Linked DNA regions of Drosophila melanogaster. The protein of the gene in region 1 interacts with the protein of each later gene in a pairwise test. Each region holds a gene or a part of one and is shown in the gene's direction. Other genes may lie near its edges.

What was found.
Region 2: the proteins of Doc2 (region 1) and CG31441 interact in a two-hybrid assay, tested with the Drosophila melanogaster proteins (one large-scale study listed by BioGRID).

The regions. Positions count from the first base shown.
Region 1 is NT_037436.4:9,010,742-9,022,311, reverse strand, and holds Doc2 (Dorsocross2), read left to right. Parts: upstream 1-3,065; 5' UTR 3,066-3,420; coding exon 3,421-3,511; intron 3,512-4,226; coding exon 4,227-4,383; intron 4,384-7,336; coding exon 7,337-7,604; intron 7,605-7,682; coding exon 7,683-7,820; intron 7,821-8,690; coding exon 8,691-9,446; 3' UTR 9,447-9,626; downstream 9,627-11,570.
Region 2 is NT_033777.3:11,232,393-11,239,768, forward strand, and holds CG31441 (uncharacterized protein), read left to right. Parts: upstream 1-3,893; 5' UTR 3,894-3,964; coding exon 3,965-4,096; coding exon of another isoform or gene 4,097-4,100; intron 4,101-4,157; coding exon 4,158-4,948; intron 4,949-5,007; coding exon 5,008-5,110; 3' UTR 5,111-5,232; downstream 5,233-7,376. Other genes in the region: Dph3 (diphthamide biosynthesis 3), read left to right, coding at 1-26; Arfip (arfaptin), read right to left, coding at 690-734, 825-932, 1,010-1,178, 1,530-2,052, 2,116-2,338; CG17721 (uncharacterized protein), read left to right, coding at 3,017-3,150, 3,209-3,524; CG31388 (uncharacterized protein), read left to right, coding at 5,477-5,593, 5,661-6,217, 6,565-6,649, 6,719-7,041, 7,119-7,235.

The DNA.
Region 1 (11,570 bases):
GAAGCGCAAAGTAGTCAGTAACAACGGGGACGGGGGAATCCGAATACGAATCTGAATCTGAATCTGAATCTGAATATGATTATGAATATATGAATCCGAATCCAGCCTGGCCTGGCGCATCTTGGGCCCTATTTGCTTATGATAATTTGAGAGCAAACAGCGATCGAGTGGATTGGTAGCCGGTGGAGACGGAACATAACGAAAGGCCTACATCTCGGGCGTCGTGAGTGTGCAGAAAAACAAAAACGAAACACACGATTAAACACCTCTCAATTATTGGAGTAGGTCTGGTCCCGCGACCATTGAAAGCTGTCAAGAGGTCCGCAATGGACACAGATGATTATGATGCCTCCTTTGGTCATCGATGTGGTGGTTCGAGTCGCTTCAGTTCAGTTCAGTTTGGTTCGCATCCATATTGATTGAGTCACTTAATTTGCATACCAAAGTAGATTTGCATGCCTCAGCAAAAGACCAGACGTTGGTCGTGTTGCAACAATGGATCTACTCACGGGTAACGCAAATACAAATATCCAACCATCCATCATCGACAATTCACAATCAGAGAATCGGAGATTAAGTGCCAGTCCGTTAATAGTCGTATATAGAGGCGCTAGGGCTTGTTCAAACAAATCCGAGCTAAAAGTTTAAATCAATAAATTGCGATGGCCGCTTGACATGAGTGGAGGGCATATTTTCCATGGAAAATTACATCGCTTTCATAGACGATTTATGCTAATTTTAATTTGAGCAGCCGTGCGAGAAAGAAGCCGAGGGCTCGTGCTCCCACCTGCCCCCTTTATAGCCGATATACACATGTATCGGGTTCATTTCGCAACTGGGTGGAAAGACACCGGACGGATAGCACTTACAATGACGTTGGAGGACGGTCCCTGGTTCAAGGCTATTCAATCTGTTTGTCCTCCCTGATTCACTTGATCGCTGTCTGAAACGTGTATCTCTGAAATGTATACCCAAAACATTGATAAGCGGCAGGAATGCAAGTACACTCAGAGAAATACTATCACTCTAGTAAAATAATCAAAAATTCCTTTGACTATGTGTCATAGATAAGACCATCTATCTGAACTCAATGAAATTTTTGCTTAATTTGCTTCTCCATACTTTGATGACTGAAACCCATGCAAAACGAACTAACTGCAGGTATTTTAATTATTGCAAACACTACTTGCTCAACTAGCAGTTCTTCGAGTGCATCATTTGCTACCTGTTGGCCCATTTATCCGGAACCGAACGGAAGTAAACCGAAATGCATTAGTCAGACAGCAGGCACAGGGGCAGCACCAATTAGCTGGGTGCTGACAAATTGCACAGCTATTGGCATGGTCTGAAAGGGCAGACCCTTTAGAGGCTCTACAGGATCGATGTCTAATGGTTTGACGAACGTAGTCGAGCTGAAAGACGGCAGAACGGAAAACGCAACCGGAAATGAGCGCGACCAAATGTGAAAACGCGAGGCATAAATTATGGTCAGACGGCGCATACATTCATACGTGGCCAGAACGCAATTTGGGCGAAATGGCCTGCTAATAGTAAATTAATTTCAGACGCTTATCGCCGCCAACTGTGGCTATGGCCATATCCATAGGAAAATAATGCGTGGATGTGTCAGGCCAGCAAAGTGCTGTGTAAATTAGCTCGGCTAACTACATATTTACCCATCGAGAGCCTCAGGAATTTCGCAGTAATGCTGTTCAGATAAGCCAAGCGATTGTCTTAAACTTGAAAGGAAGTGGCACTGGAGGCAAACACGAGACTAGTCGTTGGCAAAAAAAAAAAAAAGAAAACAACACATTAAAAACCGAGCACGTTTCGCCATCGTCGGCCCACATGGCGTATGCTTAACTTCAGTCAAAGTTCAGACCACCTCATTGGGCCTTAATTAGTTTCGAATTTGTTAGCAAGCAGCTCCGACACGCGTTTCCGTCGTTTGAAACAAATGTTTTGCCAAGCTCTCTAAAAGGTCAGATCCACAAACAGTGATCACCTGCATCGCCGGCAATATCTGTAGACTAGACTATAGCCTATAGATATTCGTGTACCAGCAAGTGGAGACGCCATATCGGGCCTTTGGATGCCGCCATATCAATGCCTGAATGACGCAGCGTCAAAGTCGAAATAACATATAATTACACAGAGAAAACTGCATTAAAGTGTTATTCGTTTAATTAAAAAGTAAAGATTATTGTATAATGGGCCCCAATATATTAATTAATTAAACTATTTACCAATTCTTCTCTACTGATAAACTCTAAAATGTGTATAAAAAAAAACTATTGCAACGATGACCAAGCAATTTCATCCAACATCAATCCGCCAACAGGTAAACAAGGTACTTTAAAGTAAGTGATTGGAACTTTTACTGATACTTAGATCAATATCTTATACAATACGCTGCCAAACACACCAAGAGTAAATATTTTTCAATAAAAAACCATCAAATTGCTGTTCAAACAGCATCAATAAATTCTTTTCTCTGTAGTGCGCCGGGTAAAATGTAATAAATGATCAGCAAAACGACAAACACACACGGCTTGGAGAGGCCAGACAAGAGGACCACCATGATGGTGATGGTGATGGCAGCGGCTACAAATGGGCAAAGCATAAATACACAAAAAGATGCCAAAAAGCGGAGACGGAGAAAAAACAATTTCAATCATCATGATCATAATTAAAAGGCAGCCAGCCAGCGCACACACACATAGCGAATGGACCCAGAAGCAACATGTTGCTGCTCCTCCGCTGACTGTGCAACTTCGCACTTCAGAATTAAACGCAATTAGAGCGAGCTGGCACAATGTGAAGAGAGAGAGAGAGAGAGAGTGATAGTCAGCGCTTCGTGGGCGGAGCCATGGCATCTGGAAAATCGAGAGGATTTTTCAAAATGGAGGTGCCAAACCAGAGCGGGACGGCTAGCTCCCGCACTCCGTACACTGCCACAGCCAATCGATGGTGAGCAGCAGGTAATCTCGATCAATGGCTCAAGACGGAAACGAGTCAAGCTCGTTCCATTCAGCTCGATCGAGAGATCGCTCTGCCAGCGGAACTTGCTCAGTTGAAATGCGAACTTGGCGAGCTCAAGACACGACCGTCGCCCAAAGATACAAAAAATTCTCTCAATATATTTGTGGTAAAATAATAACCCACGTACGCGACACCGGGCCTAATCAAATTAACACCCACGCACATGAGAGACTTTTGTGTGCCGTGATTTGCATAATTGACGCTAATCGGCGGCGTCTCGTGCTCGGCTAAAAAGTAAACCCGGGCTCCAAAAAAATAGACACCGCCATATGTTGTGACAGTGCTTTTTGTGTGCTGGGGAACAATTGTGCAAGTGACAAACGCCAAACAAAGAAGTTTCGGGCAAAGATTTAGTACTATTTTTGGACCCAACACATCATGATCACCATGAACGAGCTGGTGGATCTGCGCATGCAGCAGCACATAGCACACGAGATCTATCGCCAGCAGATCATGCAGCGCATACCAGGTAAACTGCTTGCCCCCTTCATATCACTCATCCGCCCCGTTACGCGTGCGGCAAAGCTGTTAGCCATCATTAGCATTAATGGTCGTAACTTTTGGCAAACTGCTTTTGTTTCTGTTACTGTCTCAGCCCACCAAAGTTGGCCAAGATCAGCGGGGTGTGTGCGAGTAGCGGTGTTTATGGCCAGCGGATCATAAAGCTGAGTAATGTGGGAAAGTGATCGCCGATCGAGAAACTTGATATCAAATGCATTTTTCTTGTTGCCGACGGTCGTTAAATTTCGGGATCAGCGTACCCCTAAAACAAAATCGTTGTTTGCCAAAGTATCGCTCCTTATTTTGTGGATACCAGATGGAGGGCATTAAGTTTGGTAATCGGGAAAGAATCGGTGTTCCTCGTTCGCCAAATAAGCGTTTTTATATAACCCCATGTTTGTTCGTTTGTTTTTATGACAAATATGTCAGTCATCATATGGATTTATGCCGTAAGATCTCTTTGGATAAGTCAGAAATGTCACACTTTAATTCAGACCCACGCTCTTAAACTAATGGCGACTATTAAGTTATTTGAATGGGTTTCATTTTAGCCAAATACCATGTTAATATGTTTACATAATTTCAATAATTCTTAATTTTCTTTGTTGAAGACTAAGTAGTTTGTTAGATTGCTTGAGCTTTTGTTAACCTATAAGCCCCCTATTGATTATTGTTCTTTTCAGATCCGTTTCCGCCGATGCTGCCAATTCCGATGCCACGGCACGTGATCATGCCACCTCGAGTCACGTTGCCCGGCGTGGAGATGACCCTGCAGAACGACGATCTATGGAAGCAGTTCCATCAAATTGGCACGGAAATGATCATCACCAAGAGTGGCAGGTAGGTTTAGAACAGAGAGAAAAGATCTTTGATGATGAAAATGATGAAAAACCAAGAGTGGGGGAATCTCGAGATATACAGACTTTAGAGATCGGGAACAAACATAGATGTAGCGATGCATTAGCACGAACATGAAAACTAATACCCCAGACGCAGGGCAAAGAATAATAAACCAGCCAACGGGCGCGGGCACTTAAAGCACCCTATAACGATCCCTAGCCCGATCCCTGGCCCGATCCCGATTCCGATCCGATTCAGTAGAGTCCAGCGAGGATGTGCTGCTGTTAAAGGCTCATTAGATGCAGGCGCCTGCAAATTGTTTACAGCGGCGTCGCGACAACGATTTTCACAGGCAAACAAGGCGGAAGGATGCACTTACGTCGGCAGGATGTGAAAATCGAAAATTGAAAATTGAAAATCGGGAAATGGAAAAGCGGTTGCAGGTTCAGCCAAAATTGATGCGCACTGGACATCGGCTATCGCACGAGGCGTAAAGCGAACAAGTTCGCCGGCACTTTGCGTGCTCAGATCGTAGATAGTACGAATCAAAGGCATAGCGCGATCGCCCGGAGCTAATTTATCGTGTATCTATGAGTATCAGATCAGATGCACGACTACTTGCACAAAGGCGACTACCTAAAAGTGTCCGGCACTTGTTCGAATGTGCGTAAAGTGGCGTCATCGTAATTTATTGTAGACCGACCAACTGGACCGATCGGGCGAGCGCCGAGCTCAGTGGGACGTCCTGTCGGTTCGTCGGCGCTCCTTTATGCCTCGCCTGGCATAAATCTTCGCGTCAAGGATACTTTGTCGTCATCTTTGTAGCTCTTAGCGTTTTTATTGTGGCGCCTGTCTGCGCAGCGAACAACCTGCGGCCCCGAAATATCTTCGCGTTCTGCATTCTATAAGATGCTCGTACATATCTGTATCTTTTGGCAGTGACAGTGACCACAGCTTGTCGACAGATACGAGCAATTTCACACTTGCCCTCAGTTCGAGCCGATCAAAAAGGGTTCCCAAACGCATTAACATAAACTTTTGGTCTCGAAATGCATTGAATGAATACACTTCGAGCCACGAACAACCCTTTTGTTTTATATATGCCATGAATTATTCATATAGTCTGCGTATTAAATACTTTTTATGCTCATCAAAAATGTTTTATGGGCATCGGTGGAGAGGTCGCGATGCAATCGATTTGAATTTTTAATGATTAGGCGCCAGAGTGCCACCGTCTGTCCAATCGCATCCCAATCCCCGTTTCATTTCCCATACGGATACGATCCCAAGTCCAAAACCTATGCCTATGCCAAGTGGCGCTCATAAAAACTAATTAGTTGCTTGTCTGGGCTCCGCTTGCCACTTGAACCGTTCCATCTTTTTGGGTGGTAAAAGCGCAGACGGCCATTAAAGTTAGATAGAACAAACCGTATCGCTTAATGTCTGATACTGGCGGCAAATGAAATGACTTTGTCACGATGCTTTTAGACTGTGTGGGCTCCTCCACTCACCAAGAGAGGCGGTAAACAGAAGCGACACGGTAACTTCGATGAGAAGCGCAAATATACCCAGAATTTTCAATTGGATTCAAACTTTTAGTTGCAGAAAGAAAAAAAGAAAATATTTTACCCTTTCTCTAATAAGAAATGTTATTCCTAGTAGACTCATTCAAAACTGGCTTACGATCTGAAGAGTTCAAAATTTATGTCGTTTGCTTCCAGTTTTATAGCTGTCAATTAATAAATAGTCTCACTCTTAATTTCCTAAATATGCTAATTCTGGGAATATCAAGCAGCTATTTATATGGAATTGTAGGGTAAACATTGGAGTGAGCTCTGGATATTTCCAGAGTACCCTTCGGGAGTCCGAGATCCGATGCTCCGTCGCATTCCTGGCTTGTGTCCCTGCACCTGCGAAGCGTCAAGCGCCAAGTCGAATGCCGTCAAGTGGTCAGCATGCTCCTTACTCGCAGTAGAAAATTCCACTGGTAATTATGCGCAGACGCGCCAAAGATATCGATCTTAACAAATCGTTTGTCCAAATCCAGACAGCGGACTCTTGCCAAAAAAATAAAGAAAAAAAAAAACAATAAACAAAAACTGAGAGCAAGCAAATTGAAAATGAAATTCTAAACCGCACAAATGTCGAAATATTTCGGTGCCGTGCTCTAATGGAATTCAACGGAGCTGAAAAGGCAGACCCGAAGCCAGAATCAAATTAAATGTTAGCAAACCGAGGCTCTGTGGATTTCAATTAATTAATCATCGGTTGAGGGAAACACGAAATCATTGCCAAAAACAAGAAACCATTCGAGGATGAGGACGCTGTTGAGGATGAGGACGAAGGGCAAACATTTTTCGGCCAGGCGCCAAGTGCCGTGACCACCTGCTGTTCCTGCGGCAGCGACTTGGAGTTGAAGGCGAGGGTCAGGGCCTCGCATCCTTGTTAGCACAGGGAAAACGGCCCCTACTCCACCGGGCAATCTCTATTTGACCAGTCCTAATTACATGGCGCATGGAAGGGAAATCTCACAATTAAATATTTGTAACGCCCACGCTGGAACCGGGAATGGGCTCCTTTTGTCGTTCTAGCATGACTATATTTGAGTTTGTTCGGTAAACAAAGGCTCTAAGGTTTTCCAGGCGTTTTCCTGGACTTCCCCCGCTCATCTGACACAGAGGAAAATGTTGTAGGAAAGCAGTATACCAACGATTTGGTAATATTTATAAGGGAAATATCTGTAAGATAACTCTCATGTCTAATATGGTATATACAAAAGGTTATGCTAGGTTTTATAACAACTTTGAAATTAGCCATTTATCAAATAGTAAAATATACCATATAATTATGATATTAAAGTCTTATTTGTATTAATAATATAATGAAAAATGATTTTGTCTTATATAATAAGAGACTGATTAAACTAATAAGATGCTTTTCCTTTCCCCTAAAGACGCATGTTCCCCTCGATGCGACTAAGTGTTTCCGGCTTGGAGGACGAGAGCAACTATTGCGTGCTCCTCGAGATGGTACCCATTGGCGACTGCCGCTACAAGTTCTCCGGCTCCCAGTGGGTTCCAGCCGGAGGAGCCGAGCCGCAAAGTCCCCAGCGGATGTACCTGCATCCGGACAGTCCGGCCACCGGTGCCCATTGGCAGGCGCAGCCCATACTGTTCAATAAGGTCAAGTTGACCAATAACACGCTGGATAACAGCGGCCATGTAAGTGCGGCCAGGGCTTTGAAGTCGTCTCCAGTTACTAATCCAAGTCCAAACCCCTTTCGCCATCCCCATTCGCAGATTGTCCTGGCCAGCATGCACAAGTATCAGCCGCGTCTGCACGTCATACGCACCGCTGATCTGGCGCAGATTCCCTGGGCCCCACAACAGGCCTTTGTGTTCGCCGAGACGGAGTTCGTGGCCGTGACAGCCTACCAGGTAAGTGGTGTGCCATCCCCATCCCTACTCCGTTTACCCTCTCAATGGGCGCCATCATTTTGGTAATGAGTCTAGCTCAATGTCTAATTAGTACTCTCAAATAAAATATATATCTTTGCCACACGATGAGAATCCCTTCTAGTTCAAAATCACCTCATGGTATCCTATCTTTGATTAATTCACATGTTATTCACAGACTTATCCAAGGTTGTCTAAAATCGCACTATTAGGTATTTAACAAAAATGTTTCGTCCAAGAGTATTCGAGTCATGTGTCCTCGAAGTTAGCCTTCCTACTTGTGTGTGCATTTTTTTTTTTGCCAATTCATTGAGCAAAGAGACTGGAAACGATCACACTAATTGGTTAATTTTGGGCAAACGAGCGGCGATCGCTCACGCCGTGGGTAGCTTGGTCAACGTCTCGAATTAGCATGGAACGCCTCCGTGGATCGTGTAGTTGGTGGGCAGGGCAGGCAGAAAGTCAGCGGGTCGGATTGTTGTTTTAGGAAGTTGGATAGCCACATCCTTGTAAATTTGAGCGCCTCGCTGTGTTTTTGTCTAGGTCTAGGCCCATTGACAGCCGACGCCAGTCTGCCTCTAATTAGCAAGATCGCCGAGAGATCGGAGATTCGGTTTGAGAAAGATCCGAAAGATCACAATGTTGTCAAGTCATCTGGAGTGGAACTGAGCACCGAGAACTGGAAACGCAGTCTGGTGTCAAGTGGCCATGTTACTTAACGCCAGCTACTGGACGCCAGTGACTTATGTGATGAGTCTTCTTCTCCTTCTCCATCTCCATCTCCCCGTTGCCCAAGATTATGCTGGCGGCAATCGTCATATTTCACGCTCGTCTTGTTGCCTTCTTCCGCAGAACGATCGCATCACCAAGCTGAAGATCGACAACAATCCGTTTGCCAAGGGCTTCCGCGAAACGGGACAATCGCGCTGCAAACGCAAGATGTCTTCATCGCCAACGGGCGAGGATCAAGATCAGTCGCCGTCACTATCCCATTCTCAGTCCCAATCCGAGTCTGACATGTCGCCAACGAAAGGAGGCGGTGAGACAGCCGGAGGAACATCGTCGATCGGCGATTCGGATGGTCCGCAAATCAAGCGCCTGAGATCAAATGGCTCAGCCTGCTCCTTATCATCATCGCTGGACGATCAGTCGGTGCCTGGCGCCAGTTCTTTGGCCCTGGGCTCTCCACCGCCCCATCTACATTCGCATTCGCATCCGCATCCCCTCCAGGCGAGGAGTGCCTCCAGCGTTTTTATGCAGCACTTTCAGCAGAATATGCAGAGCCTGCTGAGGCCATCGCTTGTGGATTTGGCATGTACCTACTTTGGGAGACCCCATGAGTATGGAGGAGCGATTCAGGCCTCACCTATGTATCCACCAGCAGCGATGCTACAGGCGGGTTTGGGCCCACATCCTGGCCTGAACCTTCCACCAGGCGTTTCCGGCGCGGATCTCATTTCCGATGAGTCGGGAGCCGAAGAACTCGAACTGGATGTGGGCAGTGAAACGAGCACGTTGGAGCAGTCTACGCAGGAACAGCCACTGGAACAACCATCTACAAGGAGCAAGGGCTTCAGCATATCGGCCATTTTGGGGGGAGGAAGTTAGAGATATTAAAGTTTTAAAACGGGGTATACCTATAGTTTAATTGTCTATAGATTAAGTTCTCTAAATCATTTATACATATATACTCATAGTACTCATTTTGATATTATACAGATTCTAGCCTGATTAGTACCTAAGTTCAGCTTAACGTTAAGCCATTAAAGTTAGCTTAAAATATAAGAGAATCAATTTGTTTTATTTCAATTAGGATTATATAGATCCTCCTGCTGGGCTGAGCCCTCAAACCCAGAACGCCCATCCATCGCTGTAGGTAAATGAACATATCTGAACATAGGAAAAATACTACCGGCAGTTGGCCCTCTATCATTGGCCGATCTTGGGCTGAAAATCACAACTTCCGCCAGACATTAATCCCAACCAATTTACAAGATAAACGTTCGGGTTTCGACAACATCATCAGGGCATCCTCCGCCGCAACATCCATTAGCCACACAGAGATGCGACTGGCTAGAACATAATTTGTTTGCAATTAAATAGCTCGACAAGGCATGAAATTCGGTTGCAGCCCTCACTTGGTCGGATCGGATGCTACCCTAGAGAATCGGATCCGTAGTCGGAGACGAAGACGAAGGCCCATGATATTTATGAAATGGGCAGAGACTGAGACGAAGCCAAAGAAAATACACAATTCGTTATGTAAGTTGCCGATGAGCTGGAGAGGATCTAGCTCAACTGCCGAAGGGCTGAACGGAGCCAATGATGAAGTTTACGATGACATGCGTCACCACCCACGTCTCGTCTGGATTCGAGGGCCACAGGGGCGGTGCAGACAGCGCTGCCCGCCCAGCCATCGGAAAAACAAACACGGTTGAATCAATTTGGCACACTGGAAGAAATGGGTTTGAGATACTAAAGTACACTCCCCTTAACAAAAACGTAAAAGCGTACAGATTACACATTAAAGCAAGAGGTATTCAATCAAAAATATAAATTGGTATCAGGATCTGAGTCTAGAACATATTGGTGTACAAAGTCAAACATTTTCCCTAAGTGTACCAAATCGATTTGAAATTGTTGCCGTTTGTAGTGCTGTCGTTCTATGCCTCTGGGGATCAGTTCAGATCTATTAGCCTGCGGTTTTATAGGGGATCCCGGACTGAAACGGGTGACAGATGTCGGCCGTGTGTGCGAGTGCGTGTGTTGACAGGCGCAAGGTTGCGAGTGCAATGAATGCCTCATTAAATGGACATGCCTCTCCCTCGGCCCCCTCAGCCATCGGCTTGCAGCAGATGTCGCAGGTCCCCCGGATAATTAATGCACTATGGCTGTTGCTTTTTACGCTGCCACATTTGTTGCCCGGACGCTGCAAGTTGCCTCTTTTTGTTGGCCCATGAAATTAGATACACTTTGTCGAGCAGCATTTTTGTTGTGTAAACACGAATTTGGGGAACTCGAAAAAGAAAAGGGGGAAATTGTTTCCTAAACGAAAGTTAATTAGTTATTAGGGGGAACTGGCACTGTCGGTGCTAATGAGTTGGAAAAGCATTTTACACGGAGCACGCGTGGCTGCCACTTCAAATTCAAGTCTCAATTCGAGAAAGAATAGGGATTCATTCTAATGGCTACAAGGAGTAGAATATCTAAACCCATTGGTTAATAAATTACGGTTTCCTAAGTTTAAAAAGAGATCTTCACCCTCATGCCATTGTATACAGCAAATAATGCTGAGACTTTAATTTTAAAAACTCATCTGAAAAACTTTAATATTGCGTTTCCTTAAACTCTTTTTTTAATGCCTATAAGATCCAACTGAAACCCTCAAGATTTTCTCTATTGGGATTAATTTAAAGCACTTAGGAATCTAGAGTATATAGCCCAAATCCCGGAAAGCCAGCGTCTGAGCCGATCTCTGAAACTACAAGTCTAGTCTGCGCCCGGCGTTAGGCAAACAAGATGGCAACAATACGCTGGTACTTGAGATTTCATTGTTGGCCAATGCAAATATATTGGTCGCGAGGAGAATGCAACAAAGCGTGGCAAAGAAAGGTCGCCGTGTCGCCGGGGCCAAGCCATAAAACGGATGCACCGGCACCGACCCAGGTTGTCTGGGTTCCGAAATCGACCTGTACCATCCAACAGCCAACCCTACTAAGCTGGGGTTTTAAA
Region 2 (7,376 bases), on another chromosome or scaffold:
GCGACCTGAAGCTCGAGAAGAACTAACACACAGTTTGGTGTAATTAAATAGTTTTTATTTATATATTTTTATATATATATAGACTTCATTTTAGTGTAAATAATACGATGACTAGTAAAACAATGATTTCAAATTATGCAAGCTCGCAAAAACAGTTTCGATTCGTTATGGATTATTCGTTTTGGGTGAATTACAAAGGATTTATACACACATTCTAGAATATCTAAAACTAAAACACTCATATTGCACCGAGTACACTTTGTTATATATGTTTTACAAGCGCGGAGGACAACAATATGATGATAATCGAACGAAAATTTGGAAACACAAACAAGTTAAAGGAACGTCAGCGTACCAGCTGTGGAAATGTGAGTAGTACAGCGAGTTACATACAATGGAAAGCGGTTGGAAAAATATATAAATAACATACACCTACCACTCTCACTTTCTGCTTACGGCTTAGGAATTCGACTTAAACTTAGCACGAAAATATTGTTATGGTTCGCCATGCAGTGTTTCTGTCCACTGCATCGCATACTGAATCATCTCTGCCACCGATCTTTTCCTTTTTCTTTTAGAGAGCGTGCTCGTTCAGCAAATGAGTGGAGGTGGACGACGTGTCCCGATCTCCTCCAATATACGCGCCTAAGTGCTTCGCGAGTGAAAGGGACGAACTGCGTCTACTCGATCTACTGCTCCAGCCAGGATCCAGTGACGGCATTGGGTGACTTAAGCTGCGGGCCACAAGAGGAGAAGTGAAAAAGTGAATGTGCGAACGAAGTTTAATGGGAGCACTCTGCTCCCATGTTTCCATGCTCACTCACCTTTATGTTGAACTGCTTCAGAGTGCTCTCCAGTGCCATGGCATTGCCCGAGAAGTAGGCAGCGATGGCATTGTGCAGCAGAATCAATTGCTTGTGCATCACTTTAATCTATCGACGGATAAACGGATTGGATCAATGGTTAGTCTCGCTAAATGCATAGGTAAGATCCATTTGGCACCACTTACGCGATTCTCGTCGAGAAATTGCATTTTGACGGCCACGTCCGAGCGCAGCTTCTCATATTGCTCCTTGTGCTGCGCATAGCTGCGCTGGGTCTCCTCAAGAGCGACGGCCGAGGGCGTCAGCTCCGGCTTGGTGTTCTCCAAATCCATGCGGTAGGCATCGAATTCGATTCTAAAAGGCAGGAGGACATTACTTCTACTACATATAATTCTCATGCCTTTTTATGAAACATACGATGGCTTTAGGAAATAAAAACTTATTGCCATTGTAGAGATTATCATGGAATGCGGTTATGACTAATTGATCCAACGTATTTAAATTTTTTCAAGGAAATAATACGATAAGCAATGTTTCAAGCTTGTATACAAGGCTAGTTTAAAATGCATTTCTGATAAGAGCTGTGTGGCACAACACTTTTTATAAAAAGCCACACACATGCTGAGTTTAAATTAAAATCGAAGAGATCGATGATGATTTTTCCTTCGTTGTTGCACGACAATGAAAGGATATAGCTTTGGTTACCTGGCCGTTTCGTACTGTCGTATCGTCAGCAGCGTATCGTCGATCGTCTTGTTGCACAGTGTGTTCACCGACGAAATAAAGAAGTTGAGCGCATTAAGCAGCAGCTCGCCGTTCTTGGTGAGATTGCGCTGCGTCTCCGAATTGCACGTGAACTCTTTCTGCAGCTCGGGGTTCTTCTGGGCCAGATCGGCGAAGGAGTCGGCCAGGGCGTGCTGTGTGACGACCACGTGCTGGAAGTGCGAACTAAAGGCCCGCGTTAGCCTCAAGATGGACAGATACTTGCGCTGCGTCTCGCGCAACTGCTCTATCTGGGCCTCCAGTTCCGAGTCCACGGTCCGCTGCGACTTGCCCAACTTCTCCAGCATTATCTGTCGCGTACACTTGTACGTCGATATACTCCAGTTCTTGAGACTGTCGATCTTGGAGGCGCTAGTGCGTATAATGCTGCCGCTCCCGCTGTCCGTGGGGCTCAGGATGCCGTTACCGGATGGTGGACTACTGGGCGACATGGGTGTGGTGGGTGCTGCACGAAAAGATCGATGCTGAGTCAGTTGGTCGCTAAATCGAGGACTCGTAAATAGTTCACCTGAATGGTTTCTTAGTGGCAGGCTGCTGGGGGCGCCAAAGGGGCCGCCGACACCAACTCCAACGTTGCCGCCACCACCTCCTCCGCCGGCGATGCTGTGGCTGCTGGCGCTTCCAAGGATCCCGCTGCCGCCTTCGGTGCCCGTGTGCACCGCTCCGCAGCTGTCGTTCAGCGAGGGCGCATCCTTCAGCATTTCGTGAATGCTGCGCTCGCGGTCCGTCATAGCTATGGCCGTCGTTAAGTTAACCGCCCGTCTCACCGAGTAATTGCCAGCGGAAAATCCTCCTGTCTGCCCGTTTTGTGTGGGGGTGTGCCCGATTAGGTGTCTGTGTGTGTGTTTCTCGGGCAACGGCGCTGGAGGTTTCACTTCGATTTCCACGCCGAAATCGATGGCGCACGCTGGGCGAGTCGAGACTTTAGTAACCCCTGCCTGGACTCGTCAAAATTCTCAAATCCCTAAAATTCCGCATAAAGTTCATCAAACTGTGTTCACGAACTGAAAATCGGTGTGACTGTGCGCGAGTAGGTGGTTAAATGCCACACTTGGACTGCTTGGATACCGGCTGTGCGACACGGTATTTTAAAGGCGGAACGGTGGAGTTTGGAACACGGGGAAGTCCTGTCCTGCAGGTCAAGTCGGTGGGACGTGGTTTGGCGGGACAGTGACTGCTGCGAGGACTCTCCTCTGCGGCACCAGCATTAATTTTTAATTCATTTTCATATATATTCTTGATCATGATCAATAGGCCAGTTGATGTGGCCAAGCAATTCTATTTGGATTTTCAGTGCCGACCAGTTGCGGTCCCACTAAAGTGGAAATTTGATTTAATTTTTGGGGATTTCATGGAAAATCTCTACTTATTTCTATTTCCACGTTACTTAGGCCAATAGCCAGCGGAAAATGGTCTACGTGAATCTAATAATAGGCTTGGGCCTGGTGTCCGTTGCCGCTTTCGCCTATTTCAATTGGCATAACGACCGCAGTTCGCCTTACTCCAGGTGGGTGCTATTAAATGAGCGTCGAATCGTGGGCAGGTTGGTGCCTTGCGATTCAAAGCTAAAATGTTGGCTTAAATCCCTTGTTTCATTGCAGGTCGCCGAATGGCAGGTGCACCTTTTGCCAGTATGAACTGAGTGATGACGACCGGCGCCGCATGAGGTGTGGACATGCCATGCACAATCTCTGCTACTTGGTGTTTCGCTATTCCCATAGAAAGTGCCTCGAGTGCGATAAGGTGGTTAATGTCAATATAGCCGGTGACTTGTGCACGATTTGTTTAGATCCCCTAAGTGTTTACACCATGGTGTATCTGCGCTGCAGCCACGCCTTGCATGAGAAGTGCCTCCACCAGTACCAGGCTAATGGTGGCCGCCACTGTCCGGTCTGCAGAATGGGAATTAAGGAGTAGGTATCACCTAGTGATCATGCAGCCAGGCAAAGCCATATATCAGCATAAGCGTGCACTTAATGCAAGGCTCAACGAATTTTATATATAACATTAAGTCGAGAGCAAAGAAGTCTGATTAAGATTTTAGTTCTGAAACGAATAAAAGTTAGATTTCTTAAAAGATGCCGATTTCAACCAAATTGTTGTTTAAAATGAAAGAAAAGTATTGGATGCGTCTATGCTTTTTCAAAAAAAAAAAAAATAATACAATTTTATATTTTTGTTTTGAATTGTTCAAATATCGTTTAGCCAGTGTGTACACACCACGCACATGCACTTAGTAAACAGACAACAGCTGATGTGCATCTTCATTATCTCGCTTGCCATTCACTTGAATGTAATGCATCACAATAATGTTGAGTTTTAAAAAACCTTTTTAAATATCGTTTGGTTTGCTCAAAATGTCTGAGTTGCGATCGATTTGCCGAACTTGTGGCAAAAATGTGACCAATTTGCAGGGTCGGGCTACCAAACTGTTCAACAAAAGCAACTATCACTTTATTAGTATACTGGAAAATATCACCGATATGTATGTATGTAAGTGAATAAAACTAAAGTATGCTGTCTATTTAATTGATTTAAATGATTGTTTAGCTCGAATTTGACACCACTCTGCCACATCTAATTTGCCAATGTTGCAAAGTGCAGCTGGACAGGATCTTAACATTTCGCAATAAGTGCTTGGAGGTCCACAAGTCTTTTATGGCCGCTAACAGGAAACTTTTGCGAAAAAAGGCGATAGTTGATGAGGAACTCGATAAACCGGATGTTGAGAAGCTACAGCAGGATTTGTGGGACCACACGGATCAGGAAATGTGTGTAGCAATGGCAGATACAGCTGGGCTTCTGCGGGAAGATCACAATGATAATGAGAAGGCGAAGGACGCAGAAGATGCGACTCAGAATGAGAAGAATCAGGAGGAACAAGTACAAGTACAAACAGAGGAGGTGGAGCACTGTCAAGAGCAGCTCCATAACATGTCCATCATCTCGAAGGGAGTAAGTGCCCGTGTCCCCAAGCGTACGAAGCGCAACTCCAAGTCCTGGTTCTGTGACCAGTGCGGCGGCGTCTTCAAGTCCTCTACCTACCTCAAACTGCACCTGCAGCGACACAGCGGTCACAAACCGTTCGCGTGCGACATCTGCCAGGCCAAGTACTACACGGATAACGAGATGCGGCGCCACAGAATCCTTCACACGGACGCCAGACCGTACGCTTGTCGGTTCTGTAGCAAGACCTACCGAGGATGCAGCAGTAAAGTGGTCCACGAGCGGACCCACACCAACGAGCGTCCCTTTCAGTGCCAGCATTGCGACAAGGCCTTCACCTCCACGTCGACGCGTCAAAAACATGAGATGCTGCACACTAATCAGCGGAAGTACCAGTAAGTAGGAGCACTAGCTGTCCTCCGTAAAATATGTGCAAACTGACTGTATTTTCCAGCTGCGAGATCTGTGACCAGTGGTTCCTGCGCTCATCCCATTTGACCCTACATCAAAGCACTAAATTACACCAGCGAAGAGCTGAAAGTGCTAGGATTGTCTAGAATTCATGTGGACTGCTGAAAGTACAAGTTTATTATAAGATTCCTAAATTGAACAAATTGATTCTATTTTTGATTTGATGGTTCTAAAAGAAGAAATAATCAAAATGTACACCTGTGACATCAAAGGTTTTCGACTTTTCGCTCTGCAGATACAATGGTTTATTTCTTGAAAAAAACTTGTAACAACAAATTGAGATTTTGAAAATCGGCGGAATGGCCGCGTTGCTGGGCGAATGTCAATTCGAAATCGACTATGCGTGGGGCTGAGAAATGCGAATGCCGCTTTTCTTGTTCTTCCGTCCAAACAAACCGAAAAAGATACACTTCCAATCGATCGGGGTGCTGCGTTATCTCATTACACAAGCCATGAGGTACATTTGCAGGACCTGTTCTCGTATGGCTGATCCTGCGGTAGCCAAGAATCTCTTCGATCCATCGAGTTCTTCCGTTTTGCGTCAAATAGAGACTCTAACTAACTTGCAGGTGAGTGCGTTAGCGTTTTGCGAAAATAAAAACCGAATAAATGCCGCGATCTGTAATCACTTTGCAGCTAAAAGAGGACGGCAAGTTGCCCAGGTTCATGTGCCAGGACTGCCAGCACGACCTGCAGATTGCCATCGATTTCCGCCGCGTTTGCATCGAGGCCCAGGAGCTCCTTGAACTTCAGCTAAGGCAGGTGGAAAAGGAGGAGGAGGCGTTCGAGAGCCTGGCGGAGCAATGGCTGGATGATTGTCCGGATGAGTTGTCCAACTTGTCGCCAGTGCTACAGCTGAATGATCGCATGGATTTTATCTTCGATCCCGAGCCACAGGATAAGAATACGGATGAGTTGGCTTCCATAAAGACCACGACAACAACAGAGTATATGAATGCATACCAGTCAGTGGCCAGTCCGCAATCTTCTCCAGAACTTTCAACAGATAGCCAGTTGTCGAATGAGCACTTTGACATGGGCCTCTCTCCCGAATCAGAACCCGAAAGTGAAGCTATCGATAATCGGGACACTTCCTCCAGCCACACGTGCAGCAAGTGTGGCCTCGAATTCGAAAACGTGGACGAACTGAAGCTGCACAAATACCATCTGCACGACATCCCGCCAGATACCAAGTAAATAATCATATTTTAGAGGCATGCTTGCATGATTTTCCCATATTATTCGTTCGAAACTTGTAGAAATCCTAAAAGATCTGAAGACGTTCCGTCAGGGCACAAAATATGTTTAGTTTACATTGCTAAATTGGCTATTAGCTAGCTCTCACATTCATTCCGTATTAATTGTCTTTTGTTTTAATTTTTATTTAATTTTAGAACGATTTTCCATTTTATACGTGCTGCTCTGATTGGAATTAAGGAATCCTTTAAACCCTATCACTGAATGACTAGAACAACTTATTCACAGTATGAGAGAACCTACCAATCAATTGCCACAATTAACACTTTAATTATCCTTGTAGATTCGTCTGTGACCACTGTGACGAGGGCTTCCGATCAGCAGCCGCACTTACGCGGCACTGCAACATGATTAATCTTCCATTGACGGTAATGATTCCATCTAAAATGTTCAATACCTTTCATAAAGGATTGTATTTTGAAACATTTTTTTTGCAGCACTCCTGCACCAAGTGCAAGAGCCAATTCCACAATCACATTCTGCTGGAGACTCACAAACAGCGGTGTCTCAGGCCGCCGGCGTCCCAGCATGTGTGCCACATATGTGGCAAGCATCTGACCACGGCCTTTAATCTGAAGAATCACCTGGTTCGCCACGCGGGCACACGACGCCACAAATGCGACCAGTGCAGCGCATCCTTTTATACAGCCGCCGAACTCTGTTCCCATCAGAAAACCCACACAACCGAGCGTCCCTACATCTGTCGCTACAACTGTGGCAAAACCTTTCGCTTTTGCAGCGCCCGCAGCATGCATGAAAGGTAGAATTTCAGACGAATCTCCACCGTCACTTAGCCCACCATCCCCACTTACGTGACCCTTCCAATATATTCCGCAGGGTTCACATGGACGCCAGCAAGCGTATCTACCAGTGCGAGTACTGCCCCAAGTCGTATGTAACACCCAGCGAGTGCAGGACACATCAAAAGTATCACAACTTGACTCGCGATCACGGGTACGACTTCCTCCCAGTTCTTAAGTATTTGCAGAGAATGCAAATTAGAAGGATTTCCATTATTCGCAACTAAATAACGAATCTATCTTGCATGTCAAACGTATTTTTTGTTTTATATGCAAAAAACGATTGTGTGCCTAT